4 linked regions of the Arabidopsis thaliana genome follow. The main gene of each other region encodes a partner of the protein of the gene in region 4 in a complex. Each region holds a gene or a part of one and is shown on either strand. Other genes may lie near its edges. The genes, in order: SHH1, JMJ14, AT5G46910 and AT3G27360. A codon is read from its position in the direction of its gene.

Region 1 (4,162 bases), on a different chromosome or scaffold from region 4:
TGTGATTGAATACAGAGAGCGGGTCGATAGTTATATTACTTTCGGCACAAAGATTTATTTCTTTCCAAATAGTTTTTGTGCTAAATGAGCTTTTTTCCACATCTTTATCTTAATAAGCCGAAGCTCACAAAATGTATTGACCTGCGTATTGTATATACAAGAAGCAATGAGTAAACAGAAAGAAATAGTCTTGCTCACAAGAATGAGACTGTATGTTGAACATTACATAGGGTGTTAACTGGTTAAGCATTTGGGTATTATTACATTGTACCATCACCATTCCCTTTACAATTCTAAGCTTTTGCACTTTATTCCACATAGTTGACAGAAAAAAACTAACATAGAATCCTAGGGCCGGTAGGTACTTAGTAGTGGAAGTCTATACATGAGCATGTTATTCCATTTTTGGGTCAGTCATATACTATATAGTCATAGTTTACTGCATCTTCCAAATATGACTTCAAAACCAAAAAAAATTACTCTTCAGGGCGGCGGCAAATTCTTTCTAGTCCCAGCGATTCCTGAACATACACTTAACACAAAACTTCGTCAATAGTTCCCACACCCAACAAAAAGGCTGAGATCAATCTTCTTACCTCTGTATTGTCAAGCTCGTAGCGAACAAGAAACACGCAGTTACATCTCGCGTGATCATGAATCCCTCTCTTGATATTCAAAACATGACCATCACAGTAGAGTGCTTGATCCTCTCTTTCCTGCTCATTAACCACCCCAACTTTCATTTTTAAGTTCAAATTTCTTTTGTTAAATGTTCCATCCTTCATAATTAGATCAAAGTCAGCCTTACTTGGAAACATAGAAGCAGGTCTCCAACGTTCACTCTCCCACACTCTGATGGTTCTACAGGAATAGACCGCTCACGCACTGATGTTTTGACGTTTACCCACTCATCGTGTCGGTTGTCGAACCCAGAAAACCGTACACGCACTTCCTGTTGCAGACACTCTTAGTTGCAAACAAATCATCCATTAAACAAAAGAGAAAAAGCTTACCAGTTCACCAGTGCGAAGAACTCTATAAGTAAGGAACGAAGACACGTCATACCTGAAAGACCAGAATTCCAGCAAATAAGCACAGATATAAAACACAAACGTATATTACAAGTCCAAAAATTAGGCTTTATATGAATAACGTTCTTTCTTAAGTTCACACTGAATAGGTAAGGGCATTCCTCGTTGAGTTAACAATCAACAGAGAGTTCACATTTCAGGTTCTTACTTAGGCCACTTAACAAAGTCATATGCTAGCAGTAGTCCAAGAGTTAAAGCAAAAATAGAAACATGATATTCAATGCAAGGAAACGTTCTTACCACGCGTAGTCCCGCGCTGATTTAGCCTCAAAAGCCAGATCAGCTAAATCAGAGGCCTTGCCTGTGTATGAAAATGTTCATAGGCGTTATAAGGCGTTAACTAAAAGAATCAAATATGGCACACAAGAAAAGGAAAACCTTTTCGTGTTTGAACAAAGGTAGAATTCCCAACAAAGGTAGCATTTGAGGCATTTGAAGCATAAGAACTGGGATTAGATAAGTCATGAATCTGCAAAGGGGGAGATGGCAAAGTTTTGGATTTTGGTTGGCTTTGATGCTTCAGCTTCTCCTGGAACCAAATCTGTACCTGAAAACATTTTGATTCAAAAAAAAAAGTTATTTCTACTCTATTTGCATTTTTTACCAGTTAGCTCTATGAAGAAAAAAGAGACGCACCTGTTTCCAGGTTATAGAGGATTTGCCATTCCGATTCACAGAACAACTATAAGAGAAAATGGAAGAAGACATAAAGATTTTTTAGATACTGTGCATGAAAATCAATAATCCTACTATTCCTATAAATCCACAAAATGCTTGTGTCTCGATTCTCTAACAAACACATTCACATGATCAAATTCTCGTAAAATTCAGAATAAAGTACCTAAAAGTAGAGGCAACAGTTTGACAGAAATCTTTGTGGAGAGATTGGTCACCGAGCTCCTTATACAGATTCTCCATGTCTACAATCTTCGAATAAGAAGAGCAATAAGATCACAAAGCATGAATCTCTAATCTAAGAAAACGAATGATAGAAAGCATAGATAACCTCAGACAAGGTAAACTCGGTGAAATAGTGAGAGGAATCATCGGAAGCAGCCATTATCGAGCGCACAAGGAAGAAGAAGAAGAAGTGAAAAGGATCTTGAGCTAATTTGCTACTACACTGATGCCTTCAGAGTTCAGTGAGCTTTAGTGGGTTAATGGGCCTAAAATGGATAATAATAATATAAATGGGCTTAAACTCACTAATTTATTACCCATATGCTTGTTTTTTGGACCGTCTATTATTTTATTTTAACCACACTCATATAACTGTACTATTATTTAATATTTATAAATGACTTTGAAACAATCGAGACAGGATGAGGGAACCCGTCCGCGGGGAATCTTCCAAGTCATATGAGCTGGTGGTGCGTGGTGGAGTGTTTATTAATATTCATGATTACTGACATTATTAATCAAATACTATCATAGCATGTATAAGTATATAATTTAATCACAGCTAATCCTCACTAAGGCTCTACCTTCTTTTGTTGGCGACAACCCAGGCCCTTATTTCTCCAATACAAGATTCGTTACTAAACATATCAAATATACATTATTGTAATTAGTTAGTTAATTACACGTGCTTTAAAGCATTTTAAACGCACAAATTTGAAAATGATGGCAAAGGCCCTGATTGATTTTGACCGAGACACAAACACGCAAACATAGAAAATTTAATCAGGGATTTGTACTCGGTTACATAGCTGTCATTCTGTGTTACGTATTAATTACGGTATTTAACTAATCACGCACGCAGTAGATATACTATAACTTTACTTGATTAACAAAGCTAATAGCATCCATAAATTGGGGTCAAGATGTTTGAACTCATAACGAGTTACTTTGACATTTGTAGATTGTGTGTAGTTGGTACGAGGTCTACTAGTAAGTCATAACCAAATATAACTAATCGTAGTAGACTAATTCAATTTCTTACATAAGTCCCAAATTTTCTATACCTGTTCTGCACTAATCACTCCTCTCATTCTTATCACCATTGGTCCATTGCCATCTCTTGAATCCGTCAATCTTTTATTAATTTAAAAAGGCCACCTGCTCTATTGTTGACAATAGAAGGTGAGGAAAAACAAAACCAATCAAGCCAAAAAAAGACAACCTGTCTACATCATTAAGCACCAACCTTATACAAACGTATAAATCGAATTTTTAACTCGTGTATGATTGACTAGGCATCCTTCATTTTCCACATGGGCCATCCTGTTAAAAGATGTTTCATTATTGCATGGATTACTATAATAATCACAAGAATTTAAAAGGCACAATCAAGTGGTGCTTTTCTTTATAGTTTTCATTGGAGATTGTGATAAAATAACAGAGAGCACCAGAGGGGGAGCTTGCACTCGTCATTGTCCCTTACTCTTTTCTCTCTCAATGCTGCAGAGGCACTGACAAACACACCATCTTTGCTTATCTCTTTCTCTGTTTTCTTCAACGAAATTTACATATCATCCGTTTCTTCTACTCACATATGGATCCTATCAGTCTAATAGTCTAAAAGAAAGAAGAAGAAGCACTTAACTTAATAGAAACAGGATCAAGATTCATAAGATCTAAAGATGGATTACGATCCAGCTCATGCTATGAGCAGAGGTGGGAGTATGCGGCAAACCATAAGTCGTAGTGTAAGCAAAGCAAGCAGAAACATGGAAGACATATTCAATACAAGCTCTAGACGAACCAAATCTGTCAACGAAGACGAAGAAGCTCTCAAATGGGCTTCCATCGAGAAACTCCCTACCTACAACCGTCTCCGCACAAGTCTCATGCCTGAATTAGGCGAAGACGACGTCTACGGTAACCAAATCCTCAACAAAGCAGTTGACGTCACGAAGCTTGACGGCGAAGAACGTCAGAAGTTCATCGACATGGTCTTCAAAGTCGCAGAGCAGGACAACGAACGGATCTTGACAAAGCTAAGAAACAGAATCGACAGAGTTGGGATCCAACTTCCGACAGTAGAAGTGAGGTACGACCACTTGACTGTGAAAGCTGACTGTTACACCGGTGATAGATCTCTTCCTTCGCTTCTTAACGCGGTGAGAAAC
Region 2 (7,364 bases), on a different chromosome or scaffold from region 4:
TTCACTTAAATGATCTGTCGAATCCTAATCCTAATTATGTCTTTCTGTGTTTCCGAATGTATTTGTTCTGCATTATGCTGGTTATTGTGACACCATATGATCACAGAATGTTTCATTAAACTACTGGAATCTTATACGGATAAGTATTTTGTCTGCAGATTATCAAGTTGGCTAGGAAGCTACCCACTGGAGATGTTACTGCAATTCAGATGAACACTAATGACGATCTAGACGAGGATGATCTCACTTAAAGTTTCTCCTCTTTGTACATATTCATATTTACACTTGGCTTCTTTTCAGTCCAAAGATTCAAAAAAAACATATTATCGTTTGTCCCAAGTACTGTGGGAAAGATTGATTATATAGGCTCTAAATTCGAATTTATGCATGTATTTTTCTTAAAACACGAGCAGCTAAAACTCTAAAGTATGTTATTTTATCTTGTTACAACAGCTCATACAGGTTGGTTCAATTTTGGATCTGGTTGTTGTTTGAAATCGTCTACTAATCATAAAAGCTGTTACAAATAAGCAAATGAAATATAGAGAACAATGGTACATTGCAAATGCAACACAGTATAATACAATCATTAATCCTAAACCCTTTTTTGGTAAAAAGGAAAGACATGTCAACGAAGTAACCCTTTTGTCTACTTTTGTATTGCCTCTCTAGATTTCTCTACTGATACAGTTTATAACCAAAGGAACAACAAACACAATCAACTTCAAAGGGTGTTAGTGTGTTTATCTGCTTGCTCCTCCTTAAGGACTTATCTCCATCTTATCAACCAAAGTAGAGAGCTCTTCCTTGAGCTCGGTGTTGCGAGTCTCACCACACAGAAGTCCATGCATCATTACTAATTCTTCAGGTGTCGCCTTCTTCAACAGTCCACGCAGAAGCCTTGTGTCCCGGTCCAAAGAGGGATCTGAAGCCCCTCCTTTCTCTGTATCATCCTTTTCTCCTTCCTTTATTGGTTCAGCACCAAACAGTTTCACTGCTTTTTGGTTCCAATACTCCTCCAATTGATGCTTTGGATCAAGAGCCTCAACCACCTGTGCACAATGGTCAACTTTCAGTCCAAAACGCTAAAAAGTACATATGGAAATTTGGTCATGTAGGCGAGTAAGAGAGATGCTCAAGGGGACTGAAACAGAAGATGGGAGCTTCTCTCATCCAGCAAAGTAGAAGAAAAAAAAAAAAAAAAAAACTTTCCACCGCAAGAAGATTCAGGATATCATAGTTTTATGGCTATGCATGAGAAATTGATTGTCACCTTAATTACGTGCGGGGAGAGAAATCCAAACATTTCAAGCCCATTTATACTCTCCAAAGGTTGTAAAGAGGTCAAAGAGCTAACTGGTTGATCACATTTCTTGATGATTTCGAGTTTGAGCCTTTGTGTCACCATTTGCCAGCACTTTTCAGCAGATACATTCGAGAAATTCTCAGTGGGGTAATCTTCTACTGAGACCTGGAAATAATACTGATTGATCAGTAACTTACCACCTTCATGTGTTCTGCATGATAAATAGATATTCAGTTATATTCTCGAAACCACTACGTAGTTAGTGTACCCTGAACAATGGACCAAGAAGCCCTGCATCCAGAACCTCTGAGATGTAGTTGGTTAGGTTTGTTGGGTCAAGCACACTTAAGAACTTAACACGGCTCTTGAACCCTGTAACATACAATCAAAAGCAAAAGTCTCAGAAGACATAAAAAATAAAATACTAAAGTATAAAGCTCATCCAAAATTCTCAATTCATCACCTTTTGGGTATATGGCCTGTTTACTGCACCACAGCTTTTTAACAACGAGAGATCCAGAACTCAAAAGCTCAACAGAGAGACTTAACCTATTGGTTGCAGCATTTTGGTCCTTCCCTCCTAAACAACCATCCACTTTCTTCGCCAGCTCGCTACACCCTACATCTGAAACTGAATGTGGGTTTTGAGATTCAACCGAAATCTTCTTCTCATCAAACTTACCTCCCACACCAAGTTTTACATCCGTGACAGCTGACTTATCAGTGATCCCATGTACATGATTTCTTTCGCTTTCATGACCATGGCGATTTACATCTGAATCACCATCTTGTTTCAACTGAACTTCCTTGTTTGAGGTTAGATCACTTTGTAAGCGTTCAGACACTAACTGAAGATTGTTTTGTTCTCGCTGCTGTACTTTTGATGAACCACGGCTCTTTATACATGGGGCAGACTTGAGGTAAGCATATTCTCTTGCTCTTGGATGCTGTGAAGGATACTGGTCACGACATTTACTTGCCCATAGGTCTATGGCATCAAGATCCCCTTCTAGAGCTCTGACCAGTGCCCATAACTCATCCAAGGTGTGGCGAATTAGGATATATCTATCCTTACTTTCACATGAACACAGATCCTTAGCGTGGATAAGACATGCAAACCGGTTGGGGGAACACTTGCAGCTTGAAGCAGACATATGCAAATCATAGAAGCACAAGAAGCACTCCCGTTCTCTCTTATTGTCGAAATCACCCTCCATCTTTCGCAAGCTAAAACCATCTTGAAGGTGATTTAGTCTTTCTTCTTCCATCTGCACACGCTTCTGCTAACCACAGCTATGTTAGTGCCATTGAAGATGTTTGTTTCAATCTTATCAAAAATCAGGTAGACTAGTACACTATTACTTCAGAGGATAGTTGTCAATCTATGAAATGTAACATATAGCCTATGCTTTTTTGAGTGTGTATTGTACATGCATGCACACAGAAAAAAGAACAGAGAACCAAAATTACCTTGACTGCCTTCGTAAGCAATCCATCCTCACTACAAACCCTTTTCCATCTCGCAATCACAGGAGTCTTCTTCTTTGAAAGTGAAAGCTCCCAGAGGCAATAAGTAGCTTCCATAGCAGCTCCAAGAAGCAGCTTGTCATGTGACAATGAACTCTTTCGCCGCTGCTTGCTATAGCCTTCCACTGCATTCTGTCCATGAACCAGCCAATCAACTGGTGCAACATTTACTGCTTCCGCACAGTTGAAACCACAATTAAACCCAGAATGATAGGCCTTAGGGAAGGTTAGAATGAATTCTCCACTGCGCTGGACAGCTCGATAGACAGGTACTCCCTCCTCTTTTAAGATTCTTGGAGATAACTGAGTGACCTGATAACAATAGGAGGTGCAGAGTGAGATACATATTATCTTAACCAAAAGACAGCTCTCGCCATATCATCTCCAAAATTACACACGTAAGGAGTTCTAATTAATCAGCAGAGCTTGAAATGAAAAACGAATTGGGAGAAACTTTCACCAGTTGATGTAGCAAGTCAGGCTGTTCTTCAAACAAATCTGGAAGACGCTTTTTCATTACATTTTCAAAAGACTCAGCATGGTTTCCAGGGATCCCATACCAAACTTTTGGATCACCTGTGTGTAAGTAGTTCATGGAATAAAGGTGATGATCTTCAACATGCTGTTTCAAACAAAGTAAGGGGGTAAATAGCAGATGGTTAGTACATAGCTCCTAGAAAGCACACAAAAAATGCATCAATTCCATAACTTTGGTCCCAAAGGCATGACATCCTTTAAGTAATAAAATTTTGATTCAATAACAGGTTTTAATAGAACTCCATCAGCTTTTTTTCAGCAACATATAATTTCCAGGAAATATCAAAAGATTATTCATGCGATTCAGTAATTAGCAAGAGTCTACCCTAAGAAAATGAAACTTACCCAACAAAAAGTTGAAAAGCACATTCCAACATAAAGCCATGGCACAATGACTCCTGAGATATCGCAGCTCTCAAAAGCTAGAACTGATCCGGGCAGACGGGACAAATTATTTAGGTTCCAACCACATTGAGAGTATTGATCTGCTTCACTTATAGGATACCCCGGTTTATACTTTGGGAAACCACTTCCAAATTTCTTTGTTTCCAAGTCAGCTCCATAGTACACCTGTCATAGGACCAAAAACAAGAGTAGCAAGTTCGAAGAACATCAAATTCAAATAAATGCAAAAGAAAATGGTGAAACCAAGAAAGACACAAATAGTTGATATGTCATTATATTGCTGCATGTACATACCTCTACTTCATCAGTTGCCTGCTCCACTATCCGCCAATATTCACCTTCAAGGTCCTTAACCTTAGGTTTAAATTTCTTATTTTCAGACGCTTTGGAACCAGGATGATCCTCTGACTGAAAATAGCATTCCTTAAAGTATTCATCATACTTCTGAAATTCTTCCAGGGTAAAATCTGGCCCAGTCTGAAAACCAAATTTTCCTTCACTATCACTAGAGCCAGAGGAAGCCGTATCACAGCCTGAATCTCTTTTTCTTCTTGTGTATCCAATTTTAGAGATTCTTCTCCGTTTTCTCTTCTTGGTTTTAGTAGATTTTTTAATCGGTTCTCGGTTTTGAAGCAAGTCAATGAACTGAATCCGGGTGGGAAATTTAGAATTCTCCCATATTTTTTTCTCCTTCAGAGGGCAAGGGGGCCTCCATGCAACAGGCGGCACAATTCGACATATGCCATATGATTCTGCTTTAGAGCGCAACTTCTCTATGTAACCAAGTGGATCATCAAAATCCTGACCATGAAGCAGTATCATAAGGATCAAAATTTTCAGATAAGATAACAATTTAACTACCAAGACAGAACCAAAATTGCAACTCGAGTATTTTAAATACCTCATTAGTGGGATAAAAGATGGGAGCGTCATCAACCAAAGGCCTGCAAGCTTCTGATGGATTCCACCTAGCAGTTATCTTCAAATACGCAACAAAACGATATCATTCATGAATCAGATTCATCTGCTCTTGGACAATCAGATAGCTAACACAACAAACAATCTAATAAGATCCAGATGAGATTGCTAAATTCTTAAGACCCAAGTAAATAGATTTTGCTTAATCTAAAACAAATACAATAAGAACGACTCTCAGAAAGATGAGATCTTTGAAGGAAGATACTGATAAGCAAAAGCCACGAACTTAATTAAAACTAGAATTGATTGGATTTTCAGACTCAAACGGGTTTAGCACATAGATAAGCCATCAACCTCTTTACCCAACCAATACTTTGCTAGAAACCCAATTAACTTACTTTAGGACTAGAAGGAGTAGAGTCAGGTTCAAGACTACTCTCTCCTTTAATCGATTGTTTCTCAGAATCTTCCTGCAAGAAATAAACACAATTCCACATTCAGAAACTGCAACAGTGCTAATTGAATCTAGCAAACATGCAAATTAGAGGTTACAAATGGAGGAGAAAGCAAAAAACACAAATCAAAGAAGCAAAAGGATAAAGATGAGAAACCTCCATAGCCACAGACTCTGCTAGAGATGCAAGCTGATCCATTTACAGTGAGATTAAGTTCACAAAGATCGATACTTTTAACCCGTGACCTAAGGAAGAACAAAGATCTGTTAAATAAAAAACAAACCCTTACTTGATGAAATGCAGTGCCGTTTTCGAAACCCTAAAAAAACCCAGAACGCATATAGATTTGTGTCTGGAAATAGAGAGTGAGATGATAAGTGTACCTTCGTGAAGGGGCCAAGATTCGGAACAAAAGCTTTTCCCAAGATTGAATTTGACTCTCGAATTTTATTTGTAACGTATAGTATAAATCTAAAACCTTTTGGTTAAATATCTGTGAAAGAGGTTTTTTTTTTTCTTTCCTTCTTTGATGAGTTAAGAAAAAAAAAACTTAGAGAAGAATTTATTAGGTTAACGATTAAAGCAAGTAGATTTCTTGGAGTCCGATCTAAGAAAAGGGTTTAGAACATAAAAAGAAGAAGCCGCCAAATGTGATTTTGTTTTGTAATAAAATCTTCAATCCATTTATACCAAATAAAATTCAGTAGTTTTATAAACAGAAAATTAAAAAAAAAAAAAAACTGAATTAATCTTCAAATTAAGTAGTTTTGTTGATTTGTATATCTGAACTAAATTAAACAGTTATACTATTTACACTTCATTTTTACTAACCAAAAAGAAAAGGATTTCAATAGTTATGATTATTGATTCACATTTATTAGAGACAGTAGGATCATTATTTACAACACAAAAATTAAGTTGTATGGGAACTACAATGCGATAGAACTAATACTGATTTGTTTTTTAGTCGGTTGATATAATTCATTTTAATGTAAAAAACTAACAATTGATTAGAATTATATTTCCATAAATAGAAGAAGTAGTTGAGAAATAAAAGGTATAAATTATCTTGAATTGGTCTTATCTAATCATCTATTGTAGATTTTTCTCATTGTTTCAATGTACTATATACTTTGTGAATTTTTTTTTGTCATTTTAGAATTATATAAAAAGATAAGAGAGAAATGAAAACTTGAATACAAATGTGAAAGTGATAGAACAAAGGAGTGCATTACACAATTTGCTAGTGACTTGAGAGACAAACACACAAAGTAAGCCACAACATCTATAAAATGGTCACACACATGTTGCTGAATTTTTGGCCACGATGTTTTAGACGACGGAGGTTGTGGTGGCGGTGGTGGAGAAGTTTTTAGAATTGATTAAGAGGCGGGAAATAGAGACGGCGGACACGAGGAGCATTAGAATGACTCCGGCGAATGCTGCGATGATTGCTCCTGCGCCGTGATCACAGTAAGTGGTGAACCTGTCGCAGACTTTGTTCCACTTGGCGTGCTTGTTTCCGTTCTTCCCTAGCTCTGCCACGAACACCGCCGCGTTTGCAGCCGCAGATACTAGTGTTGCGTTTAGCTTTTTTTCCAACGTTTTTTTAGATTATCAAGAAACCGTTTAGCTTTTTTTCCAAACGTTCAAACTAATTCAATTGAAATCAAACCAGTAAATTGATTTGAAAACCAATGTTTATACCATGTCAAGAATGGCGATAGAGAGGAGACGAAGACCTTTGTACTCCAGTTTCCGGCTGAAAATCTGAACCACAATCATCAACAAGTTGTGGAAGCTCACCATTACATTAGCTATAACAAAGAACCTGTAAAACCAAGAATCAATGTTAATAACTCAAAAACATTTTGCTTTCAATATGTATCGAATCGATTTCGTATAGGGTTTTACTCGCTTACACAAAAGCCGGTGTGTGCTGAAACTTAGCGGTTAAAGTGGCTTTAATAGGAACAGTACCAATGGTGGCCACAACCAAGGTCTTTGTCTCTTTGTTTAGTGACATTACAATGGCTGCAGCTAAAGTAGCCATGAATGCAAATATTCTCAGCCCCAAGAGTAGTTTCCAGCTCTTTGTGGTACCACCAGCCACCACAATCTTCTCTCTGGCCATTGTTGATGCAGTGAGTGATCAAGAGAAAGTGATGAAACTTTGTGTCAGTGTTAAAGAGTATTTATATGGAAAGAGTTTGGTC
Region 3 (7,149 bases), on a different chromosome or scaffold from region 4:
GCATATAAAAATATTTTAGGAAAATAGTATGATAGTATAGACGTGTGATCTCTAAAACAAAAGTGGGATAATTAACAAAGACTTAGAAGAGAGTGACATACATTTTTATTTTTCAACATTCAAATCTATGATCTTTTCTTTTAAAAAGGGAATAGGAGATTTAAGAAAATATAGAAAGAAGGTCATAAAAGAAAATTAAAATATAACTAAATTATAGTAAAATGGACGTATCTGTTAGAAAAATAGACAAAATAGTCTTTCATATAATGTCAAATGGAAGTTATGAACCAATGGTTTATATAAGAAGAGGGATATAAATGACACAGAAATAATAAACTAGTAAAAGAATGGTTTGGACATTATTGGATATGAACAAGAAGAACAAATAAACTAAGAGAAAATAGGCAAAAAAAAAACATCGAATTTTTTGTCTGTCATTCAAATAGGTTTAACTACGACAACAAGTGAATATTTTTTGGGTGGGTCTAGTCGAATATTCTAACCACTACATAGATTGGGAAAGCTAAACTAAGAAGCCTAAGACCAAGCAGAACCGGTTACAGAGTAGCTAAACCGCAAGGACTGAAACCGGTTAATGAAGCCGAGCCACATTGGTATGGTACAGCTTTCGTTTTCGCTGACTTCACAAAACTAATCATTATACCTAACTCATCACAGTTTATTTATTTATAAGAAAAGAGAAACCGAAATTAAGAATGGACCAATGGATTTCTGTTGGGATAATGGCTTTAACCGGGAACCGGAAAACCCGGTGAGCTCACCACCACCCACAGTAACAGTAACCAAGAAAAACAATTGTCTTCCCAATGCACCTGCCACGTGTATAGAGACAGTACAGAAGTGTCACCACGTTTCGACTTTCTGTTGTTTAAATGACTTGAATACCCTCCGTTATGACACTATTTTACTGTTTGAAGGAAACGCAAGATTGATGAAACGGCGTTTTAATGGGTTGGCAGCGTTTGGTTGAACCACCTAACAACCACCACTTTCCTTCACACTTATAGTTCCTTTTTTTTTATTTTTTTATTTTATTTTCTGTTGGGAATCTATTTTTTCTTTATTTTTTTATTAAGCATTTGGTCTTAAACAATTATAAAAATAAAGCTGATTGGTACAAGTATTAAAAAGGAAAAAAGGCTGACTGATAATGGAGTTGATTAGCTACAGCTATAGATTAATAATAGCTGAAACCTTTTATTTAATATTTGTTTACTGGAAAATAGTGGTTGTAAATTTCAAACAAATAAAATGTACATCTTTTTAAATTTAGAACAAATATAACAAAAGTAAACATTAGTTTGTTAGAAATTTTTAAAAATATAAAAATATTTAATTTTTGATTAGACTATTCACTTTTTCTTTAAATAAGATATATTTTAATATGATTGGATTATACTTTGCTTAAAATCTTGGGATGTTTATGAAATGACTTAAAAATTCTTAAAATAGATCATGACCGCACCAATCGCAGCAAAACGGTAGGAGCGTTCATTAGACACCTAATTGGCTAATTGATATGGCTTGTGAAGAATTTGGGAACCTTCCCGATATTCACCAATATTTAATTATAATTTGTTGTTTTCTTTAGAATTTTAATTAGGAACGGCTTTTGTGTTAAAATTACGGTGGCCACTAAAGCATACACGTTTTGGAGTATAAAACTATAAATTATACATTCATAACAATTTTTTCCGGTTTTCCAAGTTTCTTCCTCTCTCGGTCCTCTTTTAGCATCTCTACAGTTTCTCTCTCCTCTACCGCCGGAAAAAAAAAACGATTTCTCCGGCCGGTTTTGGTTTCTCCGTTCCGTTAATAGCCTTCGTTTTCTCGTCCTTGGAATCGTCCTCTGGTTGATTTCTGAATGTTCGTTTGACTCGGCTACGCGGCGATTCGGATCTCCGTGTTTGACTCGGTCCCTGGCTCGTTACGCGGCGTTTTCGTAGAATGTGGTTTACTTTGTTTGCATGCCAGGCTTTGTATTGAATTCGTGGGGCGAGATCGTGATCTAGGGTTTCGTCTCTGTTCTTTTGGTTCGTTGCTTGTTGTGGTCGCTTTTTGTTTCTTAATCCGGCTGAAGAAAACGAAAGTCTACAGAGATAATAGATTACGGAATGATATGGTGAGATGATTTCCCCTCTCTGATTTTAGTCAATTTTGTTGTTTAACGATTTTGGAATTCTCGTGAATTTTTGTTGTTAACGATTTTGTTGGATCAGATCTCTAACATTGCTCGATTTTTTTAGAGTTTCTGCTATTTTTTTTCTTGAATTGGTTACTCTTTTTTTTACTCTGCTTCGTTGTTTGATCCTTCTCTATGGAGAATCTCACGTTTTGTTGCTATTTTTGTGAACTTGAGATTTGAGCTCTGTTGAAATGGCGGCGAATCTTCACGTAGGTCAAATGATTGTGTGTATGAGAGGAAGTTGTCGATGGTTTCTAAGTTGTGACTCGCGTTCTTCGAGGGTGTTGAAATTAGAAATTGTCACATTCTTTGACTTTGTAGGGTATTGGTCAAAGAGATAAGGCTGTACCAGGAAGTGAAAATGCTTATATACCTTTTGAAACTTCTAGGTGTTGACTGTTTCCGTTTTCTGTGTTCACTTTTTATGTTTCTTAGCTTTTTGTGGAGTTATAATATTTTGGAGCTATAGTGGGTTAAGTGTGAATGGTTGACCTATTGTGTATCTATGACTCCTGTATATGGTATTTGTAGTATGAACTTTTGATATGTATCTAGAGGAATGTTTGCTGACACTTGGTTTTGTCAGGCGGAAAGGAGGATCTGCTTGTCTAAAGAGGCTAAGGATGGGTTAGAATTTCTGAAACGTAAAAAGCTTCAAAAAATGAGATCAGACTCTGTCAATGAAACAGTAGGCTTCAGCACAATGGCTAGAAGTGGTGGTGATGCTTTGAGACCAACTTCAGCGTCATGTGGAATGAGATTACGGGTAACTTCTAGTGATACAGTATCTAAAGTGCATGGTGCATCTACTGTGAGAGGTGGCTTGATGAAGGAAAAAGTGGAGAAGCTTGAGACAGATGATCTAAAATGGACCGAGAGGCTTCCAGAATGTCCTGTCTACAGACCAACAAAGGAGGAGTTTGAGGATCCTCTGACTTATTTGCAGAAGATTTTCCCAGAAGCTTCAAAATATGGTAAAACAAAAATCTCAATATGCAAGTAGTAGAATTGTGCTTCTTAATTTTCATGGCTTCATAAGTTTGTTGAAGCCATTGATTGGTGTTGTCTATAAAATGGAAAGAAAAATGTGATGTAGGCAATATAGAAGACTTGTATCCTTTCATAGACATTTAACTGTAATTAATCTCATTATGTATTTCTATCCAATCTCATATTCTGCCTCTGTCGTTTGTAGGTATTTGCAAGATTGTATCTCCTTTGACAGCAACAGTTCCTGCTGGCGCTGTGTTGATGAAAGAGAAATCAAACTTTAAGTTCACTACCAGAGTACAACCCCTTCGACTTGCTGAGTGGGATTCTGATGATAAAGTTACATTCTTCATGAGTGGGAGGTTTGTTATTAAACCTATTACCATTTAGCTCTACATCTTCACTTTATAGTTTGTATTTAATTATTTGTAAACTACTCAGGACCTATACATTTCGCGACTATGAGAAAATGGCGAACAAGGTATTTGCACGCAGATATTGCAGTGGTGGCTCTTTGCCCGACTCATTCTTGGAGAAAGAATTCTGGAAGGAAATTGCGTGTGGCAAGACTGAAACAGTTGAGTATGCGTGTGATGTAGATGGTAGCGCATTTTCATCTGCACCAGGTGACCCACTAGGAAGCAGCAAATGGAACTTGAATGTATTGATTTACTACAACTTAAGCTTCTCCCTTTTCTATTCTTTTTTGGTTAAGCATTAAAGATATCATATGCTTGCATATGCATCGTTATTTACATTTGGTAGTTATATGGCTTTTTATATCTCTACTTTCAGAAAGTTTCAAGGCTTCCTAAGTCTACCCTGCGCCTTCTTGAAACATCCATTCCGGTATGTGAGAAGTAGTACAGTTATATTTAGTCACAAGATCACTTTAGAGGTTTCTGCTAATTCTCTTCTAACTTGGATTTGCTTGTTTCAGGGAGTCACAGAACCCATGCTTTACATCGGAATGCTTTTCAGTATGTTTGCCTGGCATGTTGAGGACCATTATTTGTACAGGTAACAAGAGTTTAACGAATTTTGGTTAAAAGTATATGGGTTACTAAATGTGGCAATCCAAAGAATGTTAATCTCCTTTTTTTCTGACCTTCTTTCCCAACACAGCATTAATTACCAACATTGTGGAGCATCAAAAACTTGGTATGGGATTCCAGGTTCCGCAGCTCTAAAATTTGAAAAGGTGGTTAAAGAGTGTGTGTACAATGATGATATTCTATCAACTAATGGAGAAGATGGTGCCTTTGACGTGCTTCTGGGGAAGACAACTATATTCCCCCCAAAGACTCTGTTGGATCATAATGTGCCAGTGTATAAAGCTGTGCAAAAACCTGGAGAATTTGTTGTCACATTCCCCAGGGCTTATCATGCTGGTTTCAGCCACGGTAAAACAAAATTGTCTGAATCTACTTTTTTTTGTTGGTCAGAGATGTGGTATCATCTTCAACTGAAATTGTGGTTGTGTGAAAAATTGTAGGTTTTAATTGTGGTGAGGCAGTGAACTTTGCGATGGGTGATTGGTTTCCATTTGGAGCTATTGCCAGTTGCCGGTATGCTCATCTTAACCGAGTACCGTTGCTTCCTCATGAAGAATTGATTTGTAAAGAGGCAATGCTCTTGAACTCAAGTTCCAAATCCGAGAATCTGGATCTTACACCTACAGAATTGTCAGGACAACGAAGCATCAAGACTGCATTTGTACACCTGATTCGTTTTCTTCATCTTGCTCGATGGTCTCTAATGAAGTCAGGATTATGCACAGGCCTTGTTTCGAATACATATGGAACCATAGTCTGCAGTTTGTGTAAACGGGATTGCTATTTGGCATTTATCAACTGCGAGTGTTACTCACACCCCGTTTGTCTACGTCATGGTAAATTTTTTTCTCTGTCATCTCTATCCATACACATCCTTCATTATTGTTTTCTAATTGATGGTGCTACCGTGTATTATCTAGATGTTAAAAAGCTTGACCTTCCATGTGGGACAACGCATACTCTTTACTTGAGAGACAACATTGAAGACATGGAAGCTGCTGCAATGAAGTTTGAGAAGGAAGATGGAGTTTCAGATTTGATTACAACTGATGAAGATTTATATAAGTATCCATCATCGATTACACTTCCAGCTGCGAAAGAAGACGGATATACACCGTATTCCACTATATACTTTGATTTCTATACTGAGGTAGAGATGACATCTCATGACCAGTTGCAATCGGGAAATCCCGTCATGAGTTATGAGGCAAACGCTTCATGTATCTCCTCAGTTGCTGATGATTATGAATGCTCTGATTACGTAAGTTTTACCACGAATCTGTGACAAACTTTATCTGACCGTCTCTTTCTTCAAATATCTGATTTCTGTTTTCTTCTAAAAGCAGGTAAATAGACGAGCTAACTGTAGCAGCAGTAGTGATTCAAAGCTCTCGGAAGAAGTAGCATGCAGCAGTAGCAAAAAAACTCGGTTCTTCCCTGTGGTTCAAGATGAACAACTAGTTGCGGATCAGGAAAGTGATGGATCTGATTCCGAGTGTTTTAGAGTCAAACGCCGTTCTTCATTGAAGTTTGAGAACCGAACAGTTGTTCTAGACACAAGAGAGTCTGACCATCATCAGGTACTGAAAGCCATATACTTATAAATATTAACTCTCTATTAAACAGTGTTCATAGACTGTAAAACCCTGAGATTTTTCGTGTTTATTAGGAACTTAAGAGACTGAAGAAATCGCATCATCACGAAGGAAGATATAGTAGTAGCAGTAGTGTTAGTAGGCAAGAAGAAGAAGAAGATGAGTTAGTAATTTCAAACAGGAAAGAAACTCAGCAACAAAGTGACGTGAAGATGCAGAAGAAGAGGATCGAGAATCATTTTGGTGGCTTTAAACGTCTGAAAGTGAAAGGGCTAATAAAGCCGTAACGTGACAGCTTCAAGTTTCCTCCTAACTACAATTCTTTTAAATTGGCTGATCTCTAACAATACAGGAAAAGCAAAAAAAAAAAGGAATCAAAAGCAAAAAAAAATATTCAGTATCTGATTTTATTGTCATTATTTTTTTTAATCATGGGAGAAAGAAGAAGAAGAAGCAACAGACAAAAGAAGGAAAAAAGCATTTAACCAGCCAAGCCAACCAACCAACCAACCAACCAACACTATTGGTTTCTTTTTAGGATTTACCAAATCTTTGATTCTTTGTGCACATCTGTACACACCTTTTTTAATCTCTTCTTGTTCCTTCTTCTTTTCTTACGATGTAAATCTCTTTTTTCTCCTTTAAGTGGTATTTGTTGTTGTTCATGATTATGCATAGAAATCCCAATTCTCTCTTTAAAAAGATTATGAACAACTTCCACCTACTAGAACCGGAGGAACACAATTTTCTTTCCTTGCATACAAAACTTACAGATAAAGCCATCATGTTAGTACACGTTCGAAAGTTTCTTCTCATGCCAATAAAAGTTACCATTAGGTTAATAATAATCGGTCCCAACTCCCAACATATTAAGCTACAGAGACACATTCGACAGACAAGAAGCAAAGTACAGATGCCAACTTAAACCAAACTAAAGTCTTAAGACAACATGAATAAATAGAAAGATCTTTTCCTCAGTAATTTCTTCTCACCCTCACATCCATCATCATTAGGGTTTGGAGACAACTAGAAGTAGCTCCTCCGGTTTGATGAATGTAAACTTGCAGGTATATATCCCCAACAACAAGGGGATACTCTTTAACCAAACATTGCCATCCACCAGAGAAAGCTCCATAACTCCCCAGATACACCACATTCCAAAATTTCTTCCCATTTGGATGATGGACTTTGAATATTGTTTTCTCAACCGGCATTTGATCCTTAACAGAACTTCGGATCCTCTACACACTCAAAAAAAGTTTGATTCACATATCAGTTTTTTTTATAAAAACAATCATTGCTC
Region 4 (3,253 bases):
TCTTGGTAAGTGAAAAAAAGATTGTTTGAAGGATTGGTATGTTGAAAATGGATATAGAAGTTGGCTTTTTGGGGAATTGAATTCCAATTGTAGGACTAGGAAACGATTTATCTTGTAGTCTGATTTTGGAGTTTGCATGGATGGTTGGGAAGATTTTGTATATCTTGTTGTTTAGCTGCATTGATTCTCATTCAAGTCTATTTTGATGGAAAGTGGTTGCAAATTGTAGAACTAGGAACCCTTCACTCTTGGAATTTGCTTTCAGAATTTGCATGGATGGTTGGGAAGATTCTCATATATTGTTGTTAGCTGCATTGATTTCACTTATGTGGTTCTTCACTACTGTATTACTGTCTGAATTGTTGTTTTGGTTTAGGAAGCTGATCTATATATGGGGCATTCAATAGAAATTTGACCTTTCGATGTGTTTGTAACAAGAGACTTGTTGGTATGTGTAGGTGGATAAGCGACAGTCGTGATGAGTACACTAAGGAAAGACTTGAGGCTATTGACGACGAGTTCAAGCTTTACCGTTGCCATACAATCTTGAATTGTGCTCGTGCCTGTCCAAAGGGTTTGAACCCAGGAAAACAGATTACTCACATCAAGCAACTTCAGCGTTGAAACAGCTAAGTTTGTGTGCGGGATCCGTTGGGAAACTCATCAGTCTTAACGTTTGAAGCTAATAATCTTCACAAAACCTCTTCGGATTTTCAATTCATTCTTGTATTGTTGTTGCCAAATATTAGCGCCTTAAAAAAACTCGTTTGCAAGTCTTCCCAAGTAGATGAGCTTTGTGGTTGTATCTTGCTGAAAATCTCCTCTTTAAGTAATAAAACTCGAGTAAACTTAAACCTCATCTACTTATCATCTACTCTTTTGTGTTCCCTCTGCATTGGCCTATGATAAAATCATTTCATGTACTTGTGTCTCTGCCTTCTGTACACATGAACACAACGTGATGTATTATCAATCATAGCTTAATCATAGAAAAGTATCAATCATAACTTCCTTGACATTTATGATTGACTGCGTAAGTATAACTGCAAGTACTGATCACACAACAAACAAGAAAGATGACACCGGCAACACTAGCTATATTCTTTGTCTCTTTGGTTACTATTGGAACAGCAACCGATGTTGCTCCAGCAACTAAACAACAGTTTGAGTTCTTTCCGAGCTTGCGGGAGCATCAGAAGTCTCTATTTGTTACTGTGGAAGGTACCATAGCTTCGAATACTAGTTCTAGAAAGTAAAAACAACGATAATGTTTTTTAACTGTGGAAGGTACCATTGCTTTTTGTTGTTGTTCTTCACGTGCAGGCTGCAACAACCATTGCCTAACAGCTTGCTGTGACTGCAACATAGAAAAACAGCCTCCCGTTTGTGTTCAGTGTTGCCCGATTTGAGCCTTGAACTCCTTATGTTCATGTATGTTTGAAGACTAGAGACAATGTAGAAGATTTAAAACACAATTCAGGATGTCAAACTTGTGAAACAGAGGAAGCTTATGTGATATTTTATAAGTAAAAAAAACAGATATCACAAATAGAGAGAGATCAGAGTTTGTATTGTAAAAGCCTACAAATTTTCGCAATCTGTTGATGGAATAAATTCATTGAACAGATCGTAATATCAAAGATGAAAACACTTCTGTCTCACTCAGAGTCTTTGGATCACAAACACCGTTACACATCGCAATAATTAACACGTCATCATAAATATCCCACGTGTAGAATCCTCGACAACTGAAAGAATCACTCTGATTGGTTACTTAACATACGACGCAGATAGCAAAGATAAAAACAATCTTGACCGTTTAGAGGAAAACACATCTAACGGACCAAATTCTCTCTTCTTTGAGTATAAAAAAGCATCCCAACCTCACTCTGTATATACCAATCAAACACGACAGTCTCAACAATCAAAAGCTTCAAATTTTTCATTGTCAAGAATTCTCAAAATGGCTAGAACAAAGCAAACAGCTAGAAAATCCACCGGAGGAAAAGCTCCTAGAAAGCAACTGGCGACGAAAGCAGCAAGGAAATCAGCTCCAGCCACCGGAGGAGTGAAGAAGCCACACAGATTCCGTCCAGGAACAGTAGCGTTACGTGAAATCAGAAAGTATCAAAAAAGCACAGAGCTTTTGATCCGTAAGCTTCCTTTCCAGAGATTGGTTCGTGAGATAGCTCAAGATTTCAAGACGGATCTTAGGTTTCAGAGTAGTGCAGTCGCAGCTCTTCAAGAAGCAGCTGAAGCTTATTTGGTTGGATTGTTTGAAGATACTAATCTTTGTGCTATTCATGCTAAGAGGGTTACGATTATGCCTAAGGATATTCAACTTGCGAGGAGGATTAGAGGTGAGAGGGCTTAAGATTTGAAGAAGATGAAGAAGAAAAACAATGGTCTAGTGTAGATTTGCTTGTTTGCTCTCATAAGATTTGTAGATTCATGTTTTAGATTTGGTTTTGAGTTTTCTTAGTCTTTTGTTCTGAAGTGTCTTCCAGATGTTCGATGAAATGCCCAAATGAAAATTTAATCTACTTTTGCAACTTTCTAAGAATCAGTCTTCAGTTTAACTTATTAGATTTGCAATTGAAGTTGTCATTTTGGTTGTAACTTATTTGTATATTGTTACATCTGTATTCAGGTCTTAGTGACTTGTGTCAAAATGGTTCTAATTTATTGACCAAAGCAGGGTTAATCATTTTATTTTCCTGCAGCATAATCTTCTCTCTGTTATCAAAGTCCTCTTTCAGTGGTGAGAATTATGTGTTATTTTATCGATTAATTCATCACAATAAGTTTAAGAAATTACCAATGTACTGTTGGTCAGTGGTAAATTTTTTAGGTGGAGGTGCTGAGTTCGAGGTGGAAGGTATCTCTTTTCCAAAAGAGTTGAATTTAACCTGATGTAGAGAAGATATATGATTTTTAGATTTGAACTTTCAGATATTAAAAAAAAAAAAGGTTTAAGAAATTGAATCAAAGTTTTTTTAAATTGTGAGTACTAAGTATAAACAATAATGTAACCTCAAATTCTAAATTCATATATGTTCTGTTTTTTTTTTCTTTTCTGTAATGGCAAAGATAAAGAAGTCTTCAATTATTTAAGACCTGCACGTTATCTATAACAACAACTCATTGACTTAACCCACAAACTACTCTTGTTGTTGGATGTTACGTTTTGACTCCATTAAAGCTCTTCTTGGCTTATATATCATTCAAGCTAACTTCCAAATTCGAAAAATCT

What was found.
Region 1: the proteins of AT3G27360 (region 4) and SHH1 are in contact, whole or in part, in a crystal structure (PDB 4IUR), measured with the Arabidopsis thaliana proteins. Residues at the interface, in NP_189372.1 of Arabidopsis thaliana: Thr4 (codon at 1,973), Lys5 (codon at 1,976), Gln6 (codon at 1,979), Thr7 (codon at 1,982), Ala8 (codon at 1,985), Arg9 (codon at 1,988), Lys10 (codon at 1,991), Ser11 (codon at 1,994); in NP_849666.2 of Arabidopsis thaliana: Glu130, Ser133, Arg135, Asp136, Tyr140, Asp141, Phe162, Phe165, His169, Arg182, Ser183, Pro185, Leu201, Phe203, Glu205, Arg206, Glu207, Asp208, Gln209, Ala210, Leu211, Tyr212, Glu250, Arg251.
Region 2: the proteins of AT3G27360 (region 4) and JMJ14 are in contact, whole or in part, in a crystal structure (PDB 5YKO), measured with the Arabidopsis thaliana proteins. Residues at the interface, in NP_189372.1 of Arabidopsis thaliana: Arg3 (codon at 1,970), Thr4 (codon at 1,973), Lys5 (codon at 1,976), Gln6 (codon at 1,979), Thr7 (codon at 1,982), Ala8 (codon at 1,985); in NP_193773.2 of Arabidopsis thaliana: Phe171 (codon at 4,258), Asp239 (codon at 3,925), Glu285 (codon at 3,787), Cys287 (codon at 3,781), Ile289 (codon at 3,775), Ser290 (codon at 3,772), Gly291 (codon at 3,769), Val292 (codon at 3,766), Trp296 (codon at 3,754), Tyr298 (codon at 3,748), His309 (codon at 3,455), Val310 (codon at 3,452), Glu311 (codon at 3,449), Asp312 (codon at 3,446), Ser317 (codon at 3,431), Gln361 (codon at 3,299), Leu362 (codon at 3,296), Val363 (codon at 3,145), Ala409 (codon at 3,007), Val410 (codon at 3,004), Asn411 (codon at 3,001), Ser436 (codon at 2,926), Leu437 (codon at 2,923), Ser438 (codon at 2,920), Glu516 (codon at 2,496).
Region 3: the proteins of AT3G27360 (region 4) and AT5G46910 are in contact, whole or in part, in a crystal structure (PDB 6IP4), measured with the Arabidopsis thaliana proteins. Residues at the interface, in NP_189372.1 of Arabidopsis thaliana: Ala26 (codon at 2,039), Arg27 (codon at 2,042), Lys28 (codon at 2,045), Ser29 (codon at 2,048), Ala30 (codon at 2,051), Pro31 (codon at 2,054), Ala32 (codon at 2,057); in NP_199502.2 of Arabidopsis thaliana: Arg161 (codon at 3,491), Val176 (codon at 3,536), Phe179 (codon at 3,545), Asp234 (codon at 3,789), Asp236 (codon at 3,795), Ser272 (codon at 4,037), Ile273 (codon at 4,040), Pro274 (codon at 4,043), Gly275 (codon at 4,137), Met280 (codon at 4,152), Tyr282 (codon at 4,158), Glu295 (codon at 4,197), Asp296 (codon at 4,200), Ser301 (codon at 4,215), Ala400 (codon at 4,709), Val401 (codon at 4,712), Asn402 (codon at 4,715), Leu427 (codon at 4,790).

What each region holds. Positions count from the first base shown.
Region 1 is NC_003070.9:5,236,085-5,240,246, reverse strand, and holds SHH1 (SAWADEE HOMEODOMAIN protein), read right to left. Parts: upstream 2,204-4,162; 5' UTR 2,152-2,203; coding exon 2,098-2,151; intron 2,019-2,097; coding exon 1,933-2,018; intron 1,774-1,932; coding exon 1,728-1,773; intron 1,639-1,727; coding exon 1,470-1,638; intron 1,393-1,469; coding exon 1,332-1,392; intron 1,066-1,331; coding exon 1,014-1,065; coding exon of another isoform or gene 990-1,013; intron 953-989; coding exon 809-952; intron 717-808; coding exon 534-716; downstream 1-533. Other genes in the region: ABCG35 (pleiotropic drug resistance 7), read left to right, coding at 3,674-4,162. UniProt on the Arabidopsis thaliana protein: Involved in RNA-directed DNA methylation (RdDM). Required for the silencing of some endogenous RdDM targets and accumulation of 24-nt siRNAs, but not for the production of Pol V-dependent transcripts.
Region 2 is NC_003075.7:11,006,986-11,014,349, reverse strand, and holds JMJ14 (JUMONJI 14), read right to left. Parts: upstream 5,793-7,364; 5' UTR 5,532-5,792; intron 5,394-5,531; 5' UTR 5,347-5,393; coding exon 5,305-5,346; intron 5,164-5,304; coding exon 5,092-5,163; intron 4,755-5,091; coding exon 4,677-4,754; intron 4,658-4,676; exon of another isoform or gene 4,598-4,657; coding exon of another isoform or gene 4,577-4,597; coding exon 4,070-4,576; intron 3,941-4,069; coding exon 3,716-3,940; intron 3,456-3,715; coding exon 3,294-3,455; intron 3,146-3,293; coding exon 2,777-3,145; intron 2,587-2,776; coding exon 1,770-2,586; intron 1,679-1,769; coding exon 1,575-1,678; intron 1,472-1,574; coding exon 1,274-1,471; intron 1,053-1,273; coding exon 762-1,052; 3' UTR 508-761; downstream 1-507. Other genes in the region: GSNAP (gamma-soluble NSF attachment protein), read left to right, coding at 159-251; AT4G20390 (Uncharacterized protein family (UPF0497)), read right to left, coding at 6,481-6,738, 6,856-6,979, 7,071-7,282. UniProt on the Arabidopsis thaliana protein: Transcriptional repressor. Histone demethylase that demethylates 'Lys-4' (H3K4me) of histone H3 with a higher activity for H3K4me3 and H3K4me2 than H3K4me1. No activity on H3K9me3/2, H3K36me3/2 and H3K27me3/2.
Region 3 is NC_003076.8:19,044,748-19,051,896, forward strand, and holds AT5G46910 (Transcription factor jumonji (jmj) family protein / zinc finger (C5HC2 type) family protein), read left to right. Parts: upstream 1-1,591; 5' UTR 1,592-2,140; coding exon 2,141-2,143; exon of another isoform or gene 2,144-2,172; intron 2,173-2,792; coding exon 2,793-3,180; intron 3,181-3,401; coding exon 3,402-3,558; intron 3,559-3,637; coding exon 3,638-3,857; intron 3,858-3,991; coding exon 3,992-4,045; intron 4,046-4,136; coding exon 4,137-4,216; intron 4,217-4,321; coding exon 4,322-4,599; intron 4,600-4,691; coding exon 4,692-5,087; intron 5,088-5,171; coding exon 5,172-5,512; coding exon of another isoform or gene 5,513-5,536; exon of another isoform or gene 5,537-5,597; coding exon 5,598-5,831; intron 5,832-5,920; coding exon 5,921-6,133; 3' UTR 6,134-6,632; downstream 6,633-7,149. Other genes in the region: AT5G46915 (transcriptional factor B3 family protein), read right to left, coding at 6,821-7,087. UniProt on the Arabidopsis thaliana protein: Histone demethylase that demethylates 'Lys-27' (H3K27me) of histone H3 with a specific activity for H3K27me3 and involved in the regulation of gene expression. Acts as a temperature and photoperiod dependent flowering repressor.
Region 4 is NC_003074.8:10,128,580-10,131,832, reverse strand, and holds AT3G27360 (Histone superfamily protein), read left to right. Parts: upstream 1-1,895; 5' UTR 1,896-1,963; coding exon 1,964-2,374; 3' UTR 2,375-2,728; downstream 2,729-3,253. Other genes in the region: SDH2-1 (succinate dehydrogenase 2-1), read left to right, coding at 459-624. UniProt on the Arabidopsis thaliana protein: Core component of nucleosome. Nucleosomes wrap and compact DNA into chromatin, limiting DNA accessibility to the cellular machineries which require DNA as a template.